Linked DNA regions of Mus musculus: all the other regions are reported to be linked to region 1. Evidence: microRNA targets listed by miRTarBase, many of them from high-throughput screens and not tested one by one. Region 1 holds a microRNA gene; each other region holds the end of a gene's coding sequence. Distances are between the middles of the regions.

What was found. The annotated mature microRNA mmu-miR-340-5p reads UUAUAAAGCAAUGAGACUGAUU and lies in region 1 at 1,569-1,590, opposite strand. An mRNA with a match to its seed (bases 2 to 7 or 8) in the 3' UTR can be bound and repressed. Matches are read on the target gene's strand: a 7mer-m8 pairs with bases 2 to 8, a 7mer-A1 pairs with bases 2 to 7 and ends in A, and an 8mer does both.
Region 2: the mRNA of Chmp4b is a reported target of mmu-miR-340-5p. Seed matches in the 3' UTR shown: 7mer-A1 at 699-705.
Region 3: the mRNA of Shroom2 is a reported target of mmu-miR-340-5p. The part of its 3' UTR that is shown has no 7-base or 8-base seed match.
Region 4: miRTarBase lists Tfap2b as a target of mmu-miR-340-5p. Seed matches in the 3' UTR shown: 8mer at 974-981.
Region 5: the mRNA of Pm20d2 is a reported target of mmu-miR-340-5p. The part of its 3' UTR that is shown has no 7-base or 8-base seed match.
Region 6: miRTarBase lists Cwc25 as a target of mmu-miR-340-5p. Seed matches in the 3' UTR shown: 8mer at 624-631.
Region 7: miRTarBase lists Papola as a target of mmu-miR-340-5p. The part of its 3' UTR that is shown has no 7-base or 8-base seed match.

What each region holds. Positions count from the first base shown.
Region 1 is chr11:50,068,310-50,071,309 of GRCm38, reverse strand. Mir340 (microRNA 340) reads right to left here and starts at 1,608; the gene lies at 1,511-1,608. It overlaps Rnf130 (ring finger protein 130), which reads right to left. Exons shown (of 9, transcript NM_021540.4): 3 at 1-139.
Region 2 is chr2:154,693,523-154,696,796 of GRCm38, forward strand. It overlaps Chmp4b (charged multivesicular body protein 4B), which reads left to right. Exons shown (of 5, transcript NM_029362.3): 5 at 422-1,261. The coding sequence ends at 486. Among named protein-coding and RNA genes, the nearest start is that of 9030607L20Rik, 19 kb to the left of the region's middle.
Region 3 is chrX:152,609,583-152,612,856 of GRCm38, forward strand. Shroom2 (shroom family member 2) reads right to left here. Exons shown (of 10, transcript NM_001290684.1): 10 at 1-3,212. The coding sequence ends at 2,946. Among named protein-coding and RNA genes, the nearest start is that of Cldn34a, 48 kb to the left of the region's middle.
Region 4 is chr1:19,233,874-19,237,147 of GRCm38, reverse strand. It overlaps Tfap2b (transcription factor AP-2 beta), which reads right to left. Exons shown (of 7, transcript NM_009334.3): 7 at 1-3,098. The coding sequence ends at 2,801. Among named protein-coding and RNA genes, the nearest start is that of Tfap2b, 27 kb to the right of the region's middle.
Region 5 is chr4:33,171,526-33,174,799 of GRCm38, forward strand. Pm20d2 (peptidase M20 domain containing 2) reads right to left here. Exons shown (of 7, transcript NM_001034867.2): 6 at 3,219-3,274; 7 at 1-2,955. The coding sequence ends at 2,801. Among named protein-coding and RNA genes, the nearest start is that of Pm20d2, 17 kb to the right of the region's middle.
Region 6 is chr11:97,744,640-97,747,913 of GRCm38, reverse strand. Cwc25 (CWC25 spliceosome-associated protein) reads left to right here. Exons shown (of 10, transcript NM_026186.4): 10 at 445-2,444. The coding sequence ends at 559. It overlaps Mir8102 (microRNA 8102), which reads right to left and starts at 3,017; the gene lies at 2,879-3,017. It overlaps Pip4k2b (phosphatidylinositol-5-phosphate 4-kinase, type II, beta), which reads left to right and starts at 3,210. Exons shown (of 10, transcript NM_054051.1): 1 at 3,210-3,274.
Region 7 is chr12:105,836,298-105,839,571 of GRCm38, reverse strand. Papola (poly (A) polymerase alpha) reads right to left here. Exons shown (of 22, transcript NM_011112.4): 22 at 628-2,807. The coding sequence ends at 2,712. Among named protein-coding and RNA genes, the nearest start is that of Papola, 53 kb to the right of the region's middle.

The DNA.
Region 1 (3,000 bases):
GAGCCACGGCTGAAGTTCTTTGGCGGCATTCGAGTTCCAACAGCTATTGTCATTTGTACAGAGATGTTTTTCTCCAGATAACTCAAAATATCCTTACCCCTCAATTCTGTTATCATGACAGCAATAATATCTCCCGTGCCTGTAATGTAAAACAAATACACAGACTAAAGTGACATCTGAAATTCATAGACACATCAAATAAATATACACATATGCTCCATAGAGAAATTACCATAATTTTCACTAAGGTTTATAGATTCCAGTTCAACTGACATGAGGCTGCAGCTGTGTAAACTGACAGGCATGAGAACATGTACAGTGCTCCAAACAGGTAACGCATAAAGCAACTGTGGTGTTAACAATGCACAAACTGCCTTACCGGTGCATTAGAAGCACTGTGAAAGCAGCCACCTGTGACTAAATCAGGTTAAGTCTTCAGTAGAAAACCTTTCTATAGCAATCAATCTGGAAAGTTCTGACAGAGAAGCACTGTCATTTACAGTCTGAACAGGTGGTCCTTGCACTACTCATCCTCACACGCACTGCTGAGCAAGGACTGCTCTAAGAAACAGAAAGAAGGGTACTTCTTAGGGCACACACTTGGCTATGGAGTGACAAGTGCCGAACGGCAACATCTTTTACCAACAACCTTTGAAACTAACTTTGGTCTTCTGTCTACAGTAAAGCTCCTTCCAGGGCACTTCTGGAGCTCAAACGCAACAATTTTCCCACCCAGTTTGGAGCCAGCATCTCACATTGCCTCGGCTAGCCTCAGACTTGAGTTTTATGTTAGTTTTCCACCTTGTTTAACCATGCCCAGCGCACTCAAATCCTCTAGGCAGGCCCAAGTTTCAACTTTCTGGACTACTACCCATAATGATACCTAAAACCTTCAGTTCCTAAAAGCTGTTCAGAGTTCTGCCCACAGGCACAACTTTTATAAGTTAATTACAAGGATGGTTCAGTTGTGTTTTCAAGTCCTTTTCTCACATGGCTTCAAGGGCCTGTTTTAAGTCAGAGTGAGCAGCTACTCACCAAGGTCACTTTTGTGAGTATGAAGGAGGATTGTGCATCCAAACACAAAATACCCTCTCAAAACAGCAAGCAGAGACCCCAGACCTGACCTTTTGAAGGCTCTGTCAACAAATATTAGAAACACTTGTTTTGATTTCTTGTTACCTTTAGCAGTCAAGATGAGACACAACAGAAACTCAGTAACAGAAGTTTTGAAAAAAATATAGCTCAATGGAATATATATTTGCATAATACTGTATTCAAAACGGTTTATTCACTTTATTAGAGTAGTAGTTTACCAGTTTATTTTTGCTTAAAAAATCTATAAACAAAAAGGAGACAACAAAATTAAAACTAGCATTATTAAGTTAACATCTGCCTCTGGTGAGTGAGTTAAAAAGAATCATAAAAGAATGCTAAACCAGTTTAAATTTCCATTTAGAAACCTTAAGTTTGTGCTTTTACAATGTTGATCAACAGGCATGATCTGTGGTGTTAAGATACCAGGTATGGCTATAAAGTAACTGAGACGGATCCCACAAACGACATATGACAATCAGTCTCATTGCTTTATAATCACACCAAGTACAATTGGTTTTAGAAATCAGTTCTGAGGCTCCCTCTTGAAGACTCAAGCTGGAAGTGGGGAGAGCTGCACAGGTAGCCAAGGCAACCAATCCAGTAATTTCCTTAACCGAACACTAAATGGGCGCGTCAACTAATCTCAACAGGAAGCTGTTTGGGAAAGAAAAATTTAATTAGTTCAACACTTGTCAATATTCACTGTTAGGAGGACAAGAGTGAATAGATCTCACTGTAGCTTTATCATCCTAGCAAAAAGAGGAGACTGGGCAATGTTGCCAAAGGAGACTGAAAATGATCAAATAAAAAAGTACAGCAGCACATCTGATATTAGTGAAGGCAGTGATCTCTTACAGAAGGTGATGAAGCAAACTACAAACCCTCCTAGGAAAAAAGTTTCTTTCTCCCCAACATCTAGAGCTGGGCTGGGTTCAAAGAGCCTAACAAGATGGCTCAGACATTTACAAATGGGGATGGGACTAAAGAGATGGCTAAGAGCACTGGTTGATCTTGCAGAGGACGAGGTTTGGTTCCCAGCATCAATATGGCAGCTCATAACTACTGTAACTCCAATTCTAGAGGGAACAGACACTCTCTTCTGGCCTTCGAGGGCTCTGTACACATGGTGCACATAGACTCATGCAGGTATACACACACACACACACACACACACACACACAATAAAAAAGTAAATAAACCTTAAAAACAAAACAAAAAACTCTTGGGAGAGTTGGTGCAGATTCAGGAGGGATGATGACAACAGAGGAAACTTAACCCTCAGGATAAAACTAGGATTAGAGTAGCAGTAGCTGGTAGGAGAGAGGGGTTAATTAGACTGAAGTAATGGAAACATTAAACAGATACAAAGAATGTGACCAGATCACCCCTATGCCTGTGTTCTGAAACACCAAGACATGGCTTTGGAGTTCAACAATCATGCAGCTATGTGTTCCTTTTCTACTGCTGTGGTTAAACATCATAGCCAACATAACGTATACAAGGAGGGGCTTGTTTGGCTTATAGTTCCATCATGGTGGGGAAGAATGGCAGCAAACTGTAGGTAGGAACTGGATGCCAAGAACTCACACCTTTTTAAAAACACTGTTAATTTCAATTATGTGTTTATGTGTGTAGCTTTGTGCATGCAAGTTATAGTTGCCTGTGGAGACCAGGAGTCACAGACCCCCTGGAAGGGGGGATACGGGCAGTTGTGAGAGACCTGTTGTGGGTGCTGGGAATTGAACTCAGGTTCTCTCCATGAGCAGAAGAATGCCCTGGAAACCTCTGAGTCATCTCTCCAGTCTCACATCTTGAACCATAAGCACTAAGCTGAGAGAACAGCAGTAAATTTTGGGAATCTTTAAACTTTCAAAGCTGGACTCTACTAATACACTCCTCTTCCAA
Region 2 (3,274 bases), not on the chromosome of region 1:
AAAGAGGAGAGCCCCCTTCCCACCCCACCCCCTGCCGTGGTAAAGAGGAGAGCCCCCTGGCTCTTCTGCGGCTCTTCCTCTGTTGGAGGCAGTCTAGCAAAGCAGGCTCCAGCAGCTCCATGTGGAGTTGGCTTGGCAAGGATTGTGTCTCTTGGGAGGGAAGCTCCTGTCTGTCTCCCCAGCTCTGGGAGCTTAGAGCTCAGTGTGGAAACTGTCCCACCTGGTGTGGCCACCCCTGCTGAGGGCTGAAGGGAGTTGTTGTGGAAGGTGTGTCTCCGCTCAGGACAGGGCTGTGTGTGTGTGTGTGTGTGTGTGTGTGTGTATGTGTGTACACGTACACGTACACGTACACATACACATAGAGAAGCATGGCTCCAGCTCCCAGCCAGGCTTCAAAGAGCATTTTTTTCTGTATCCACAGCCAAGAAGAAGGAAGAGGAAGATGACGACATGAAGGAATTGGAGAACTGGGCCGGATCCATGTAACTGTTCCAGCAGAGGCTGGGCCCAGACGGACTCTGGTGGCCTGTGCATCGGGCAGGCATGTGCGTGCGCAGGGCAGGCAGGACGCGGTGCAGGCAGCCTCCATCGCTCAGCTCTCACCCAAAGCAGTAGCCGCACCACTGCTCACTCTCGCATAGCATGGTCTGTGCCCAGGGGTGGGTGGGGGGAGGGGGGCGGGGGGGAGGTGCCTGCTGTTTATAATGTTGAATTTCTGTAAAATAAACTGTATTTGCAAATCCAACACTGAGTTGCTGGGCTGCGCTAAGCCCACTGCTGCGTCCTCTGTGGAGGGTCGGCCGTTTGCAGTTGAAGCGAACTGGAAATGTAGCCCTGCAGCTGACGTGTCTCACTCTGTAAGATGTGTACGGTACTGGCAGAAAAGTCGTTTTTTAAAAGCCATAGATAGGCTTTTCCTTGTTCTTAGCTGTAATAACACATCTAGTTTTGGTTCCCTCAAGAGCTGTGTTTCTGTCTGTCACCTGTGTACTGGCCCCATGTCTACCATCCTGGCCCTTGTCACTCCTGTCCCCCCTGGTCTTTTGGAGTTTGTGACACGGATCTGAAATGGATGTGTTCTCTTGCAAGCGAATAAGATTGTTAGAGTTAATTCCAGCTATCCAGTTTTCTAACGTAGCTCTAAGGTCCTCATTGCTGTTGTGATAATTGATACATAGCTCATTGGAAACGTGTGCATACATTTATATTCAGATGAAATTATGGTTTGCACCGTCTATTAAATATCTCGATTTAATTTTCATATCGCTGTGTGTTCAGTCAATCTCTCACCTTCCCTGGGAGCTGACCCTTTCCAGGCCAACACTTGTCCAGGGTCCTCTGGGGAAACCTGAAGGACTTGCGAAGACGGATCTTCTAGAAACCGAGAGATCCTGGAGGCCACAGAGCTGTGGTCCCACTTAGCCTGGGACTGCCTGGGTCCACTGTCAGAGAGATGGTGCTTATGCAGCCCAGACTCTTCCCTCCGGTCTGCCGACAGCACCTAGGGCGGTGCCTGTGGGAGCCTCTGTCTAGTGGAAACTGGTGCCCTCGTGAGACACGGCCCAGTCAGGTGGTGTGTGTTCCTACAGCAAGGACGTGTGGTGGGCAGAGGACCAATGTACAGATGCTCACACACTCCATTTGCGTCTGCAGAATCACTGCATCTTTGGCCCAGCACTTCCACCCTGCACTTTTCTTTATCCTTCTACCCTCTTGTGAAACTGACGGATGCTTTGGGCACTCTCCTCCAGTCAAGTAGATCTCCACGTGTTCCTTCCTCCTGATGTCAAGTTCAGGGTTGAGAAGTCACCCCCACTCCCCTAGCTTCTCAATGTCCTAAGGTTAAAACCAGGCTGAGTTCACAATGGGATATTGTTATTTTCAGTGTGCCCAGATCAAGCTGCCTACTCTCCTGTCTTAGTCCGACACATGTCAACGTTTAAACATTTGATTGGGGACTTGATTACAGTTTCCATCACCATCATAGCATCCGGGAGCGTGGCAGCAGGCAGGCATGATTTTGGAGCAGTAGCTGAGAGCTCACATCTAATCTACACTTTAGAGCCAGAGTGACTGGGCCCGGCGTGGGCTTTTGAGACCTCAGAGCCTATTCCCCAGTGGGATACCTCCTCCAACATGGCTGTGTCTCCTAATCCTTCCCCAGACTTATCGTTCAAAAGTGAACTGATGGGAGCCCTTCCCGTCCCTACCCCACAGCTCCCTAGGTCTCGTGTTCTTTGAATGAAGCAGCTCCTACCCTGGCTGCCACACTCATGATTGAGACTTGATGCCTGAGTTGAAATTGCCTGGTTTGGGGGAGATTGGGTTTGGCTAATGTCACAAGCTCTACTTGCCAGGGTCTCTCTGCCAACAGGACCGGGGCTCCCAAGCATCCTTTGATGTGGGAAAACCAGAGCAGCCTTTCTTGAGTCTCTCCAGCTGCCTAGAACGTCTCTCCCCTCAGCTCTGACGGGCACAGACACCAGGGCGCTGTCTGGGCTCCCTCCAAGAAAAGGGTGTTTATTTCTACAAGTCATATACCTCGTGCCTGGGTCTGTGGGGCATAGTGCTCACCAGTGTCTAGAAGTTTTTTTTTTCTTTTTCTTTTTCTTTCTCTTTTTCTTTTTCTTTTCCTTTTTCTTTTCCTTTTTCTTTTTCTTTTTTGCTTAGGAAGTTCTCAGGCCTGAAAAGATGTTATTGTACTAGATACTCTGGGTACAAGCAACAGAAGACAGCCAACACATAGAAATGATACTTACTCTAAATTCACTCAGGTTTTTTGTTTTGGTTTGGTTTTTTTAGCACCTACTCTGTGTAGGAACTTGAGTTTACATGCAACAGAGCACCTTGAGGGGACTTGCAGGTTGGTCTCAGGACAGGAAGTCTCGATGGAAGTGTTAGGGTTCAGTGGCTCAACTGTGTTCTCAAGAATAAAGCTCTTTCTGGTGTGATGGTGCATAACTAATCCCAGCAGTAGGACCACAACAAGTTCAAGGTTAGCTTGTTGTGTGTAGTGGTGAGACTGTCTTAAATGCAGCCAGAACAGCCAAGCGTGGTATACGCCCTTAATCCCAGCACTCAGGAAGTAGAGGGAGGAGACTTGAGTTCGAGGCCAGCCTGACCTATATAGATAGTTCCAGGACAGGGCTGCTTAGAGACCCTGCTTCAAAACAAAACAAAAAATGCTTTGCCTCCTGCGCTGCCTAGGCACATGGGCCTTTCCCTTAAACTGCCGCCTCTGGTCCAGGCCCTACCCTGGGTCACGCTCTGCTCC
Region 3 (3,274 bases), not on the chromosome of region 1:
AGGAAACCATTTATATTTCTAAACATTATTACCACTGATTTTTGTTGGGTCACACAATTATGACATGTGTGATAAGAAGTCACACTGTTGACTTAGAAAGGACAAAATACATAGCAGCCTGAATCAAGCTAAATCACAAGAATTTTATCTACTATGCCCCTTTAAGGATGTGTTTGGCACCCGTATATAGAAGGAAAAACTGTGCTGTGGGTCCAGCTGTGCACCACTCTAAGGACCAGGATTGCAGGTGTTCCCCACAGTGCCTGGCTTAGGCTATTTTCTGGAGGAGAAATGCTACTATTTGAAGTCAGAACACCATGTTCAAACCCTTCCCCATGGGCTACATGCCCAGCACTGGTATTTTTATTCTTTTTACAAAGCTATACAGTAGGAAATAAAGACATTCTACTTTCATCTGAAGAGACACTATTTATTTTGTTAAAGTCAAGCAAGAGGATCTGTTGATAAGTGGTAAGCATCAAGCATGAATGTGCATATTTGCCAGGGCAGAGTTCAGGGTAAAGCCACAAAAGCTGACCACAAGCAAGGTCAGTATATTTACAGAGAGTTCCATAGCTGTGCCCATGCCCATGCCTATGCATGCCAAGGACCAACCATTAGCACCAGATTGTTTCTTATGCAGTAATATCACAAGTCATAGACATATGTACATGGACTCTCTGGAATTCTTGGGTCCCTGCTAATCAGACATGGAACAGGCAAGCAGGGGATGGATAAGAAGGTCATAATTGTTATGTGTTTCATTACAAGCATGCTAGAGCACTACATATTGTTTCCCATAACAGACAAGCTTGAAGCAACATGAAAAAGCAGGTTACAGACAAACAAAATTCCATTACTCACATGTTACACACATATCATTAAAATGTTCACAACACTGTATTTGGGATTAAAGAACCACAGGTAAATAGCTTGGTGTAAATTAAAAACAAAATAGTCTGCAACACCTTGGATAGTTTGTGGAGAGCCAATATCGTGTTTTCTGACATGACCCACATTCACAGCAAAGGATGACCAAGTGGAAGGAGAAAGAGGCTGCAGTGGCAGATCAGGAACTTCAAAAGGTAGAATAGTTTCATTTAACAGGAATCAACACTTTTGCAAAGATTTTCTTCTGACTGACAGTGATAGGATGTCAACCATGTCATCCATGGTCTGCATATAAAATCTCGCCAATCTTGACTCAGCTGTATGGAGGACACTGTATCATCTTCACCAGAGCTTCTGCTGTCAACGTCTGTTCCTCTGGCTCAAGAAGCATGGATTCTGGTCCTTTAAGACAACTGTGTGTGGGAGTGTGAACACGTGCACATACACATGGATGTAAATGTGCATGTGTATTTTGGAAAAGGTGTGGCTACTGCTAAGAGAGGGAAATCTTCGTATATGCTGCAGTCTCAGGGGAACATACGAATTAAATAATCCCTTGGTAGAACAAAGACTAGTGATGCCTAAATACCAAGTCACCAAGAGACTTGCTCATCACTTACCATGCACTTAGTTACAGAAACACCTTTTGAACAACACCAAATCTACACACATTTAACATAAGCAAGTTATACACGCCATTGGTAGCTGAACATTTCCCATGTGTTTATCTGCCATACATATATCCTCTTTGGTGAAGGGTCTAGTCAAGTCTTTTGCCCACTTTTTTTTTTTCAAACAATTCCTACTATTGGATGTTGGAAGTTCTTTATACAAATCCTTTATCAGATAGATGTATGAAGTCATGAAGTGGGATATGCTGCTAAACCCAGAACTCAGGATGTGGAGGCAGGAGGATCAGGAGTTCAAGGTCATTGGACTACATAGGGAGTTTGAAGCCAATCTGGGTTAGACTCTTCTAAAACAAACAAATAATAACAAAAACAAAATGAGCAACAAGTCAGACACATGATTTAAAAATGTCTTTTCCCAATCTGTCCTGTCAACTGGAAACCAACAGAATGACAGTGTAGCTTTCATGAATAACACTCTATTTGTCATCTTGCCATTTGAACTGTTAAGGACAAAACTCTGTTTCAAATGTAAGCACTAGTCACTCCACAGGACCTCTGACCACTAGATGGAGTCTTAAGTCTTAAGGTATGTGGCATGTGGCATGTGGCCCATGGTAACAGACATAAAAAGAGATAAACCACTGATTATCATTAAAGATCATATACACAAATTAGTGTTCCAGGGAAGGAAACTTCAAAATATTCCATTGGTCTCAGGAAATAAAAAGCAAGCAATAACATTATTAGTAGACACACTTTTATCCAATTAAAATCACTTGGCTAGAAAGTATTTAAGATGTGACAAGAAGGATACTAGATATCTGTTTAGGGTATTTCAAAACATGCACACAAGTTATGTGATAATTTTAATCTTGGAATGAATGGATCCAATATGTAGATTGTTCATTTTATAGTTAGTCTTTAACTACTAGGAAACTGTTCATGTTTTCCACACATGAATAAATATCATCACTGATTTTTACTGAGTCAGAGAATGTCACCATGACAGAATGAGGAATGCTCACATTGTTAAATGAACAAGGACAGAACACACAGCAGCCCGTGTCTGGCTAAATCACAAGGGTCTTTCCTCTCATGCACTGTAGGACTGTATTTGGCATCTACACGAGGGAGGAACATTGGTGCCACTGCTGCAAAGGAGGGCTAGAGAACCCTTGTTGTTTAGCAAAGCCTGGCATTCTGTGAAATCACATGTGATATGAAACTATGTTCAGCAAACCAACAGAAATGAAAATCATAAATAAATCATCACATACTAGCAGGACATTATTGCTTTTTTACTAGCCTCGTGGCTCCAGAGTATGTCTCTCCAGAGATGGGCAAATAGGCTTGGGTTCACTCTTATAGTCTCAGGCATTAATCTCCAGGGCTTGGTGTCCACCTTCTGTAGGAATGTGCCTCTCATTTGCTTCTCTCAGGCTGTAGGCTGTCAAACAAACACTTGAGCTGCTCTTCACCCAGGTGGATTTTATCTTCCAGCTCTCGCTGCTCAATGATGAGAGCTGACTTCATCTTCACGAAGTGCTCATAGTCAGCCAGGTTCTCCTCGCTGAGGTAGGTAGCCAGGATGTCGAACACAATGCGCTCACGGCGGTCCAGGTTCTCTTTAAGCTCCTTGGCATCCTCGTGCTGCTGAGTTAGGACTCTCTGTTTCTCCAACAGTGACTGCTATTAAGGGGAAGGGAGACAGAAAGTTCAGTCGAGGCAGGACTAAAGTAGAGGCTGGCTAA
Region 4 (3,274 bases), not on the chromosome of region 1:
AGACAACCCCGGAGATGGGGGAGGGAAGCCTCAAGCCAGGTCTATCTAGCTGCCCCTTCGCTGATGCTCACAGGAACATCAGGGCATCTAAGGGAGCCTACCTACCCAAGAATGACAGTTCTTATTTCATGTCCACACTTCAGGCAATTAAAAAAAATGTCCACACTTCCTGGCAATAAAGAACACATGGAAGTTTCAAATTCCATGGACTTTTCCAAGCTACAAGGTCTCTGAGAGTAGAGCCCCTAGTGACCGCTTGCGGCAAAATGGCTTTACAGAGCTCTGGCATCCCTCCCCCGCAGCAGCCAGTGGGGCGCCGCCCCTTTACCTACTCGGGAACCGGCCCTTCGCGGCTGCCTTAGCCCTTAGGGTGAGGCCGAGAGCAAGAAGGGCCTGTACGGCTCGCGCCCTCAGCAGCTGCTGATTCTATGTCCTCAACACCACTGGGCTTCAGTGGCCCACATGTTCCCAGGACCTGCACAGTAAGAGCAAGGCGCATCCATCGCGTCTCTCGATGTCACACGCGTGGGGCGCGTTGCCCTGCAAGGAAAGGAGACGATGTTTTTCAATGTGTTTTCTGCTGGCTTCGTGCAATCAGAATTCAACTAATGCAAGCGTCCAGGTTCTTGGACAAATGGGGTGGGCTTCTAAACTGAGGAAAGATGAGAATCTATAGTTCACACATGTATTTTTTCCTGCCCTTTCTACTCCTTTCAGCCTCGTCTAGGGCTGTGTCCTGGAAACCTATGGGGCTCAGAAGCAGCTAGAGATAGGAGCAGAGATGTTGCCTGACCTCAATTTTTGTTTACAACCTTCATCCTTTGAGCGATTCCCTCAGAGGGTCCCTAAAACTTCAACCCCTTCCCTTGCTTCAAAGTGGATTGAAAAAGATAGGAATACTGAGAGTCCAGACTACTGGGGGAAGGGACTGTGTAAATCACAGAAAACATCTGAACATATATCCTAATGGATTTTATAAAGTTCCCGTCTAGGTAGGTGAAAAAAAATAAGTGTACCCAAACTAAATGTGTGCACCAATCAAATACTCTACTCCTTGAACTTGCTAAAGGTGCCGGTTTTACTTCGTGGTAATATTAAGATGGGGTACAGTAAAAAGTTGGACTAAGAGAAGAGAGATACATTAAATTCATGGAACTTCATCCATTAGGAATATTCCCAATAAATCAAGACAGGAATTCAAAGTTGAAATACAATCTCGTTCCCTTTGCCTTGTGTTTCTGGTGTGTGTGTGTGTGTGTGTGTGTGTGTGTGTGTGTGTGTGTGTACCATTTTATGCCAAAATACCTGTGTGTCTGAGAAGGAAAACTGTTTCATTCATAAAGCAGAGTCATGGTAGTTTATAGACTGTCTTCCCCAATCACTCAGCAAAACTACTTCTTTCCCCCATTAAAACATCCAGTCCCCAAAGAGCCCAAGGAAATGGAATCCATTTTTCCAGTAAAGACAATACCATTACAATATAGGTCCCAAAGCCAAGATACCTTACTCGACTCCCTTAAAATGCATTCTGCAGTGTCCCGCCCCTGCTGGAATTCCTGCGTTGAGGTGTGTTAGCAAGAAATCCAAAGCCGCTCCCCCCAACACTGGCCACTTCCTAAATGATTCTCTTTGAGCTTCTTTAAAGAAGTAAAACCTGCCGAATCTGACAGGCAGGCTTTAACTTTAAAAAGGATCAGGTTGTTGCTGTTGTTTCTCAGTACCTTATAGATTGTGTAGGAAGCCCAAATCTTCCTTGAAGAAGCTCATAAACCATGCGGGTAAAGCTTGGGGAAACAGAAGAGAGTCAGTGGTACATACCCCTCCGAAGGAATTACATACTAATCAAAGTTTTCATGTTTTGGTTTTTGTTTTTTCCTTTCTTTTCCTTTCTTTTTAAACTATACCGCTAGATGACACAAGTATAACAAATGTAATATTCTCTGTGAACAGGTGCTGTCACGTCTGGGAGACTAGTAACATTTTCTAAAAGGAACCAAGATGAATCAACTTATCGGTTTCCTCTCTGCCGCGGGAGCCTGGGCTCTCAAGCCTGGATCAAAAGCTAGAGCCTCCGCCTGTCCCCCACCCCCACCCTTGGCCTCCCTAATTAAACACACCGGGGCGGGGTGAGGGTGAGGGTGGGGGTGGAGGGGAGGTAGGGGAGTTGGGCTCAGGGGAGTTAGGAACGCAAGGCGCGGTCTGGACACCAAAGGGGCTAACACCAGAGAGCTAATCACACTCGTGATCACCCAGCAGATTTCCGGGATCGCTGTGAGGAAGGGAGAAAGGGAAGCAGCGGTGAGGAGAATGAGGAGAAATGGAGGGCGCGAAGTGCGAGAGTTTCCTTAAAAAAAAAAAAAATTAAATTAAAGATTTAAAAGTTCGTGCGTCTCAGTCAACCAGCTCTCAAAAGCATTGACACCAACGTTTCTCCAATTTTCTTCCAATAAGTTAGCGTGTTCTCATGTTTAGTCTCACGTTTTATTTTCCAAAAGGGGGATTCATAGTTTTCCTTTTTTATCTGTATTACTAAATTCGAAAGAACCGAAGTGGAAAATCCGGACGGTTGTCTCCACGTGTATCTTGAAATAGACACCGAGAGCCGGTTTGTTGCTCCGTTGTATGCCTCAGTTTATTTTTTTTTAACGTTATTTAGCTTTCTTTTTAAATTTTGATTGTATGTGTATTCTACCTAATATAATTCCTCCAAAGCCAATCCAATATGTTAAAGCTAAATTTATTTTTTTTCTGTTTTCCTTTTGTATTTAAAACATTTTCCTTCTCTTTAATTTTTTTTTTTTCATTTCCTGTGTTTCTCCTCCTTGTCGCCAGTTTTACTACCTGGGCCTTCCCCAGACGTGTGCCTGTTAGTGGTGTTGTTCAAGAACATCTTGTCCATGCCTTTGAGCGCCTCGGTGAGATAGTTCTGCAGGGCCGTGAGCGCAGCGCAAATGGCCGGGGCACCGAAGCCGTGCGTGATGAGACTGAAGTGCGTGAGACAGCTTTGGATGCCCGGCTCCAGGATGGGGCTGGGCCTGCTGTTTCCGATCGGTGTCCGGTCCTGAGCCAGCAGATCCGTAAATTCTTTACAAAGTTGCCTGAGAAGGGGTGAGGGAAGAAGACAAAAGCACCCTCAGAGTTCTGGTCGCTCGCCTAGAAAACCAGACACTCACACAAGCCCTGAGGCTTTGGGTCTGAGGACAGCAAAGCTATCTTTCGGGATTCCTCTCCATTTCTTTCCCCCGGGGCACTCCCTCACCCAAGCAGCTGGGAC
Region 5 (3,274 bases), not on the chromosome of region 1:
GCTCTAGCTGGGTTCCATCTCTATCTTCCCCCTCCCTGTTTGTATATACATATATATGTATAAAATATAGATTACATAATATATATGCAAATATTTCAAAACATTTTTTTAATCTAAAATCTGAAACACCGCTGGTCTCAGGCATTTAGGAAAAAGGAAACATAACTTTAACACCTGTACTGCACAGGTCCCATATTCAAGCTTCCTTAGAATTAAGCTGGTAAAGGAAAATAAATTTCAGATTGTAATTACATTTAAGCTGCTAAGTGTAGCTTACTCATTCTAGAATGCATTGACGTAACACCTCTCCCAGGTGACAGGAAAAGGCATTTGTAAGGACATGGTGTAAGTGGTTCAAAATGGTAAACCATTGGACAATAAGACAGCAAATTGTAAAATCACAGCAGCAACCTCCAACAAGAAACACACCCTTCCTTACCTACCTAAACCCGACATTGTTTATACATCAGTCAAATTTAATTTTACTTAAAAAAAAAAAAAGGAAAAGGAAACCAGACACGGAATACACATGATTCTCAGAGGTTGGGCTGCATAAATAACAACAGCTGTTCTAGGATGGTGTCAAGATTATAGCAAATGCAACCAATGCCCTGCCCTGGAGCTGGGGATGCAGCTCTGTGCTAGAGCCCTGGTCTCAATATCAAGCCCTGCAAAAACCAAAACTAAATCAATCAACAAAAAAACCTATCCCTCAAGATGTGAGGAACTAATAAAACAGCCTTTTAGGAGACCAAGTCCATCAATAAAAAAAAACCACATCTCTGGCATGTCTTATTTTTTGATTCAAGTTTTCATTGATACTCCCTCTTTATACAAAATTTGTATTTAATATGATAAACTCGGGTGTGAGTATCCAGACACAAGGTGTCATGGAGGACTGAGTTCTCAATGTTACGCAAAGACAGAACGGGTGGTGTGCAGAGGCAAGGCTGAGGACTTGTGGGGCAGGGTGAGGGGAGCTGAAACAGGCTTCTGTCTAGAAGGACAAAGTAGAGGGTGGAACAGTCCTGATCACTCTGTCAGGCAGCCCCTATCTACACTAAAGTGCTTCCAATGCAGGACTTGAAGCTTTCCCCAGAAAATTCAAGAGAACAGAAATCAGAAACTGCCCGATTGACTGGCTCTGAGAGGTTTCTTTTTCCTGACAGGTCAGACAGTAAATACTTTATGCTTTGTGGTAATGGTGGTTTTTTGTTTTTGGGGTTTTTTTTTTAACCTCTAAAATGCAAAACAATTCTTAGTATACTAGCTGCACAAAGGCAAGTAATCAAGCAAACACCAGCCTATGTCAAGCCAGAGAACAGCAGAGAGCAGTTCTCAGATGTTAGCCCTCCAATACAACCCCGCTCCCTGTTCTAAAGTACACATCAAACAGGAAATCAGAGGCTAGAAGGGTCAAAGATGGCTAACCTTCTAAGTGGCAGCTGGTGTCACTGAGGGAAAGTGACTTGCTTCCACCACAGAAGCAAATGCACTTCCCTGTGCCCTTCCACTTCTGACTCTGAACCGCCTCCTCAAATGCCCACGAGTTGGTTTTACCGGCTTCTTCACACTTTAATCATGTGCAAGTTCACACTAGATGGCAGGTGTGCTGTGCTCGAGCCTATAATCACAGCATCTGAGAGGCAGCAGCAGAGGGAAGAGAGTGGGGAGGAGGCGGGCAGAAGGGAAAACCTGTCTCAAACTCAGCCCCACCAAAACCAAAGAAACTTGTGCTACAGTGAGGACCATGAAGAACTGCTGATTTTATGTGACTCGCTCCTTTCCAGGGCATTACTGACAGTGATTTTACTGACAACCACTGAAATGTTTCAGATTTCCAGCTCGAATCCTGGCTTCCTTGTAAAAACAACTCCCTCCTGTGGCTCTACAAATGCTGTGGTGACACAAACCAGGGAGCGAGCAGACAAGGCACAAAAGAAAGTCCAGAGAAACTGCAGGAAGCTTAACTAAGTCTCATTAGGAGCTACGGAGCCTCCTTTCCAAGGCCATGGGTTCACATTACTACTGGGCCAGCACAGGGCTTTGGGGCTCTTCTGAGGCTGCTAGGGACTGGGGACCGTGTGGGACACTGGAGAACAGAGCACACCTAGTCTGTACTCCGGCCAACTCCTGTAACACAACACACAACACCCTACCCTGCTAGAAAGGCTCAACTGTGCCTTTCTGCCATTTTTCCTGTTACTACCCACTGTTCCTATGCCACTTCTTGGAGTAATTACATGTAAGTAAAGATCTCTCTCTCTCTCTCTCTCTCTCTCCCTCTCCCTCTTCCACCATTCCCTCCACTCCTCCTCGCCCCTTCTCTAAGTGTTAAAAGTAGAGCTAATTCTTTGTACTGGGGATTCTAGGAGTGTCCCACAAGCATATGTTTATTTCAAGTTTTTCTTTAGACCCAAACAGATACAGTTAGACTTAAAACAAGTCTCCCCCTCGATTTAAACTGCCGAGAAGACATTCCCTACTCTGAACCACAGAGTTCATGAGTGTCACCTTCTGAAACCCGTGGGACTTGTAACACCATACAGCAGATACACTTACAAAACATTACCGAATGTTACAGGATCAGGTATCATCTGGCGTAATAGATGGCGTTACGCACCAACGCCTGCAGTATCACAAACTCCACTAAATCTAGACGTGCATTCGTGTCTTCTTCCCTATATCTGTCCTCACTTACCAGGACTGAAAAACAAGCATGCTCTCTTTCACTGAAAAACATGAGAGGTAAAAAACAAACAAAACGTAACATTTCCTGACCAGTCCCTAGGGTTTCCTTCTATGCTGCTGTATTTAAAAGCTGCTCTTCTTGAAGTTTACATTTAAACTCCTTCCTGACTCCTTCGAGCAATGCAGGCTTAAAGATGACGTCCAGTGCGGTCATTGCCAGAGCCTTGGCTGTACGCAGCGTGTACAGCTGAGCCGCTTGTGATCCTGGGAGGTGAAGAAAACACATTGAAAACCTCTCTCTAGATCACAGTACATTTATTAGTTCCTCTGGTTACCTCTCAGTATCTAAACTGCCTCTCCACCCTCTGAGCACAACACCGTGTTTTCTGAAGTGATTATATGGGAGAACAGGCTAAAGAGCAGCACTGAGCAGGAAGAGGAGGCGAACCCGGGTACTCACAGCTGGCAGAGAATTCCGGGTACTCACAGCTGGCAGAGAACCCCGGGTACTCACAGCTGGCGCTCACCTGCAGCTTCTGTGTACTGCTCCGTGTGATTCAAGGCATCAGTCCCAATGTAAAAA
Region 6 (3,274 bases), 48 Mb from region 1:
GTCATGTGGCAGCTGGCCCACTGCTGGGGCTGGTGGTGCTGTTGTCTGTGTCCAGAGACCTCAGAACTCAGCCTTGGGACCACTCTTGGTACTGTTCCCAGTTTCTAACCAGATAATAGCATTTTTACTTGACATAGAAAAAGTAATTGGTATTTTTCCCAAATCACTGAAATTCCTTGGCCTTCCTTTTAAGTAAAAATTTGTGGCTCAGAAAACCTTTTTCCAATGAAACTTGACTTGTTTTCCAAAACAGATGAGTTTTCCCTTATGGACATTTAAAAGCCCTGGCTCCAGATGGAGTCCTTTGAAAATTGTCTATGTGGGCTGAAAAGAACTTGTATTTCTACAGTTCCTTTCTGGCTGCAAACCTGTTTCTTCTGATTCTGCCAGGGCTGACCAGTTGAAATGTCCTTTTTCCCCACTCCCCTGTCTTTCCTTCCCTAGCCGCATGAAGCTGGAGAGTGCGTCGACCTCCTCCCTGGAGGACCGCGTGAAGCGCAACATCCATTCCCTACAGCGGACGTCGGTGGCCCTGGAGAAGAACTTCATGAGGAGATGAGAACCAGTCTCTTGTACTGTTTTGCCTGAATTTTCCAGGGAGGCTACTGACTCCTTAAAATTCTCTTTATAAGAGTTCAGATGGCTTCCTGTACAGATGAGAACCCACCACTGTTCAAGTGCCCTTTGTCCACTGACTCCTGAAACACTTCACATCCGTTAAACACTGATGTGACCTGAATCGGGGCTCCTCAGGAACTTTGGCTGGATGTGGATGCACTGTGGGGTTTGACTGTGTTTTAGTGGCTGCCACTGGACGGCTTGGATGCTTGTTATCCCTCTTCCCTCCCACCTGAATGAATGGATCAGACTTCCAGAGGCCTCTCTTAAGAGCCACCCAGATGGACGGTGCTCACTGGGATAAACAAACATTGACTTTATTTAGTAGATTATGTGACAGGATAGCCAAGCATCAGGAAGAGCCAAGAATTGAAGAAGCTGGAAGAGAAAACAGAACCAAAAGCCCTAAGTGAACTGCTACCCACCCGGGCTTTACGCTGTAATGGTGTGATGTGTATATACAAATGTATAGTTCTATATTTGCTTTAAAAAAGTTAGCCTTGGGAGAACATTTTGTTGGATGACCTTGTCAGAAAAGTAACACAGTAGTTACTGGTAACAGAGGGATACTGACCTTCTTTGTCATTTGGACATGACTTTGTCCTCTACAAATGTGTTAGGCTACATTTATAGGTATGTACTGGCTTCAGGAAGGACACACCTGCCAAGGGACATACATATCCTCCTCTGTTCCTCGGCATCCTACAGTGGGCACCCAGTGGGGCAGGAATCAGGACCCATGTTGTCCGATGACTCCTGAAAGAAAATACTTGGGAAGCTTTTTGCTTTCTGGCTAATTTTTATTTGTTTGTTTGTTGAGGCAGGGTCTCTTGTAGCTCAGGCTAGCTTTGATTGGACCGGGGAGCTGACGGTGACCCTGCACTTTAGCTCCTCTGACCACACACAGTTGCTGCTCCTGCCACTGCTGCTTTGTGGTTTGTCTGTGATACAGGGCCCTTGCTGGTCCAGGGCAGCCTGATGGTGGCTCTCCTGCCTCAGCCTCCTGAGTGCTGGCTGCGGTTAGGCCATCCCCATCCTCCAGCTGCCTTTATCCTGTAATAACTAAAAATCTAAGACAAGACTCAAGGGGCCACACCCATGTCTTTACTGCCATTCCTTTCTCTATTCTTTCACCAGAAGCCCTCATTTGTTTGACCAGGGAACTTCTAGGTGCTTTTTAAACAGACGACAGATTCACCCTAGCGGTAGCTGACCTTAAACTGTAGATCTCCTGTTTTAGTCTCTGGAGCTGTGATTACAGACCATCTGGCCCTCAGAGGTGCTCTTAATTCATATATTAAGCCATTTCGTTGTTCTACCAGTTCCTAATTTCTCCTAAAATATGTTTGGATTTAAGCACTAAAATTCCAGTCACTGTAATTATTGTTGTTGTTACTTTTTGAGACAGGGTTTCTCAGTATAGATAGCCCTGGCTGTCCTGGAACTCACTCTGTAGACCAGGCTGGCCTTGAACTCAGAAATCTGCCTGCCTCTGCCTCCCAAGTGCTGGGATTAAAGGCATGCGCCACCACGACCGGCTGGCACTGTAATTCTTAAAACTCAGTTTCTCCCCAGACAATATAACATTATTCATTTAATCATCTCATCCTTCTGCCCTATGTTATAGTTAATTATGGCTTTTATTTTATTACTTGGTAATAAAGGCTACATTTATTTTTGTAACTGTGTAGAGCGATCTACCACGTGCCTGGTACTGAGTCTTGATATCCCAAGTGTTGACCTGTGATTTGTGTCGGATACAGAGACCCTTCGACCAAGTGGAATTACATAATAAACCATGGGCAGTTTATTCGAGATTTCTTGGAGCAAGAATGAAAGGATTATTACAATACGCGTCTACAGATGCTAGTGGTGTCTAAACTTGACCATCGGGATAGAGGAGGCTAGGCGGCAGGTGGGTGGGCGCGCGGCCCATTCATAAAACCTAGGATTCCCGGCCTGCTCCTCTGATTGGCCCCCGGGAAAGGGGGCGTACCTTGCGGGTGGAGCGAGCCGTCGGCCCAGGGGAGTGGGAAGATCCACGCTTGGGTGGAGCGAGGGGGCGGTCCCTGGTTTTCTAGGCAGGACTTCCTTTCCCCTTTGCCGCGTTACTCCTCTGTCCCCCGGGGTGGAGATGGTATGTTCCAGCTTCTTCTCATGCCGGCCCCTCTTCCCCTCCCGAAGCGGCGGCGCTGCCGCCATTTTAGTACTTCATGTGGAGGCAAAGTCAAAGCCCGGCCTTGAGGGTGTCCGAGTAGGGAGCCCTTCTTGCCGAGTGCCTCGAGGCTGTCCATCCCCAGTCTTCCTCGTTCCCCCGCGTGAAGCCGGCTGGGTTCCCTTCAGGCCGGGAGAGGAGGAGTGGGCGGGGCAGCTGCAAGCGCCCGGGGACGGGCGGTACCATTCCGACGGGGAGGGGAGAGCCGGGATCCAGTGGGCGGTGCCGCCCGGGGGCGGGGTGAGGATCAGGCTGGCCTGCTCCCCGGGGCGGGGCGGGGCGGGGCGGGCCGGCGCAGCGAGGGCGGGGCGTGGGGCGGACGGAACCACCGGGGCGGGGTGGGGAGGTAACGGGACGGGCGCGACCATGGCTCGGTGAGGCAGCGGGGGTGGGGATCGGTTCGGGGGAGGCCTGGGGCCGCTCGCTGGTGCGCTGTCTCCG
Region 7 (3,274 bases), not on the chromosome of region 1:
CCAACTCCCTCCCCCCCCCCATATATACACATACACACATACACATACATACACACACACACACACACACACACACACTCAAGACACTAAGATAATCATCCCTAAAAGTTGGCCATCACAAACTTAAAACAGTCTACTTCTCTTTTACGCAATGTGTGTGAGGATTTAAGAAAAATGTCAGAATTTGATCCAGTAAAATAAACAAGATTCAAGCTGTAAGACACAATTATAAACCTACTGAAAAACAACAGTGCCACCTGCTGACAGAGAAATGAAAGTAGAGGCATGAAAGAGCCATATGCATCAGTACCGGGAAATGTACAGTGCTCAGACTAGACAGAACACTACTGTAGAAAATGGAATTGTTCAGAGTGAGTTAGTGGTAGCTATAACCACCCTTTTCTCCCTAACGATCATCTAGGTTAACAACATTGCCTGCTATCGTGTGACACATTAGTACTGGGTTACAAATAGGCTAACCTAAAACAAACCTGCCAAATATAAGCACATTAAATTCCAATCTTCATTTGGGGCCACACCATATATTTGTATGTAGAACTAATTAATTAGATTGCTGAAAGGGGGAGAGGGAGAGAGAGAGTCAAAAGAAACCAGCCAACTATGGGATTTGTGCTGTTTTTTTTTTTATTGTGTTTTCAATGGAGAAATACATCATCTGTTTACAAAATAGCTCTTGAAAAATACAAGGAGTACAGATACTATAAAACAAAGCAAACTCCAGTCATGAGACACTACTTACATCATGCGAAAGCAACAGTCTGATCTCCAGGTTATGGAAACTAGAAGTAAAAAGTCACTACACAGAAAAGATCCACGTCTCCAGCCTGGTGAAACTTGGATGCAGTTACATGGAACGTTTATTAAACTGAATTTTTCCCCAATGTGTAAACAAAACGACAAGACTAAATCTGTGCCTGGTGATGTCAATCTAACTCTGAAGCTACACACACAGACACCAGTACATGTCACCTGTTAGCGGACCGTCTTCTTTACTCAAATGGTGGGAGGAAGGGCAAGGTGACTGCAGAGCAAGAGGTGGAGAGTAGAACACTGTATATAAACAATGTAAGTGGTAAAGAAAGCCTTAATTAATGCATAGCTTCAGGGGAAAGACTATACTCCAACTTTGGAAATTAATTTGGAAGGACAGGGGAGAGTTTAAGTAATTGCAGTGTAACATGAAAATGCACAAACGTGTGATAGAATGCAGCGAAATGAAGGATTCAAAAACCATGCTCATACAAAGATCTGCTGCTACAGGTCTGTTTTACCCAGATTAACAAAGAGTAACTTTATCAACATCTGGCACCCGTCAGATGTCACAAGATGGACGAGAATTCTGCTACTTAATTATGAGAAATCATTGTCTTTAAAGAAGATTTCTAATTTTTGATAGAACAAAAAAAAAAATTCAAAAGTGGAAAGCTGACTAAATGTCAAGTGCTTACTAGAAATGATTTTTAAAATGTTTTTGTATGTAAAATTCACTGACAAATTTTGATAAACTGGTTAAAAATAAAAATTAGTTTAAAAATCTGGAAGAAAATGCCTTTTGCCCACTTTTAAAAATGAAAATCAATTTGTCTAAGACAGGAACAGGAGTTGTGTGGAGTGTACAAAAGTCCTCGCAGAGATCAAAGGGCCGCCTCCGGGGATGCTTCACAGGTATGGCTTCAGTCACTCTCAAGTTCTAGCCATGGGACCAAAGTTAGTGTCTGTGTCACGCAGCCACAGGGTCAAGGTTACATGTCATGGCTTAGGAAAATACTGGCATTCTGGTTTCTGTGAAATAAGCCTTACCTTGTGCATACAAGCAAAGGGGAAAAAAGAAAGGCAAAAAATAAAATAAAAGGGGGTGGGGGAGCACTGTCTTTCTGAAGACTAACAGACTGAAGGCAAAAGAACAGAGCTTGCGAAAGCTCAAAGACCACACTTGTTGGCCGAATGCTGATTTGTATGCACTATAAAACAACTCTATAAATAAAAGGAATATATACTGCTTAATCATAACCTCATCAAAACCAAGTATCGCCTAATTCTTCTTTCAGTGTCCAAAGTATACCTTAGCATTGACAATTCACCCTAAGGGCTACAGCTGCCCGTAAGGACTGGGCTGAGCTCGGTGTCCTCCTGCCCTTTCTGGGACAGAATGGTACACCAATGCACAACGTATCCAATTTAAAGACTAATTGTAAAGAAAATTCTTTGGGGAAAAAAAATTGAAAATCCATTAAGCTGAAAATCTAAAATTAGTTCTACTTTCTAATTAAAAAAAAATACATAAAAGTGCATCATCAGAATGAGGAGTTCTTCTGCCAGCTTGTATTGCAGTTTTCCAAACAATGCAGCACACAGAGGCGCGATCCGGATGTCAGTTATGGATACAAACATAGCTCGAGGGTTTTGTTTTGTTTCCTTCTTAAAGGCAGTAATTTTTCTGAGTAGTTAATGCAGCTGTCGCTAACACAGTAATAATAGCACTCCTGGCTTCGCATACTAACCTGGACTTCTGATCAAGTGCTCATGAGCCCAAGGCAGGGAGGCCACCAAACAGCTAAACCCACTGTCAGTCAGGTCTAGTCTTGTCCCTCCAATCTCCTCTTTTCCTTTCTTTCTTTCTTTCCTTTGTTTAAGCATCTGGAGACAACGGGTTGAGTTGGCAGATACTGTTTATGGACCCTGAGGTGGTTTTACCGATTCAGTCTCAGTTTTATTGAATTCTTGATAACAGGAATAGGATTTGCAGGGAGAGCAGGGATATCAGAAAGGTCTGTACTGGATGTTTTCTGAGAATGAAAGCAAACAACACACCACAGTTTAAAGCACTGTGACTTAAAATGGGATGCGTGTCCCACCGCCTTACTCCTAGGAAAGGATGCAGCTTTATTATGAGGCAAATTTAAAAAGAAAAATCAATTTTAAATGGAAAATATGCAGCGCAAATAAACATAACTAGACTTGCAGACATTTTCAAATAATAACATTTTCAGGATTTACCAAAAATTATTTTGTAACTTCAAATAGAAATCTTAAAAATATATTTCACAAAATAAAGAACAAGAGAGAGAAAGATATTATTAATAAAATAACACTTAATTACTGTTGGGCCCAGTTTACCATACTAACTGCTCTAACAAGAAGTGGTGTCGGAGTGCCCTCGTGTGGAGGAAGCACTTACATTCACCTGAGACACACAGCTAGCATTTAGCAGTTATTTTCTGACACTCTAAATTATAAAATTAACTATATAACT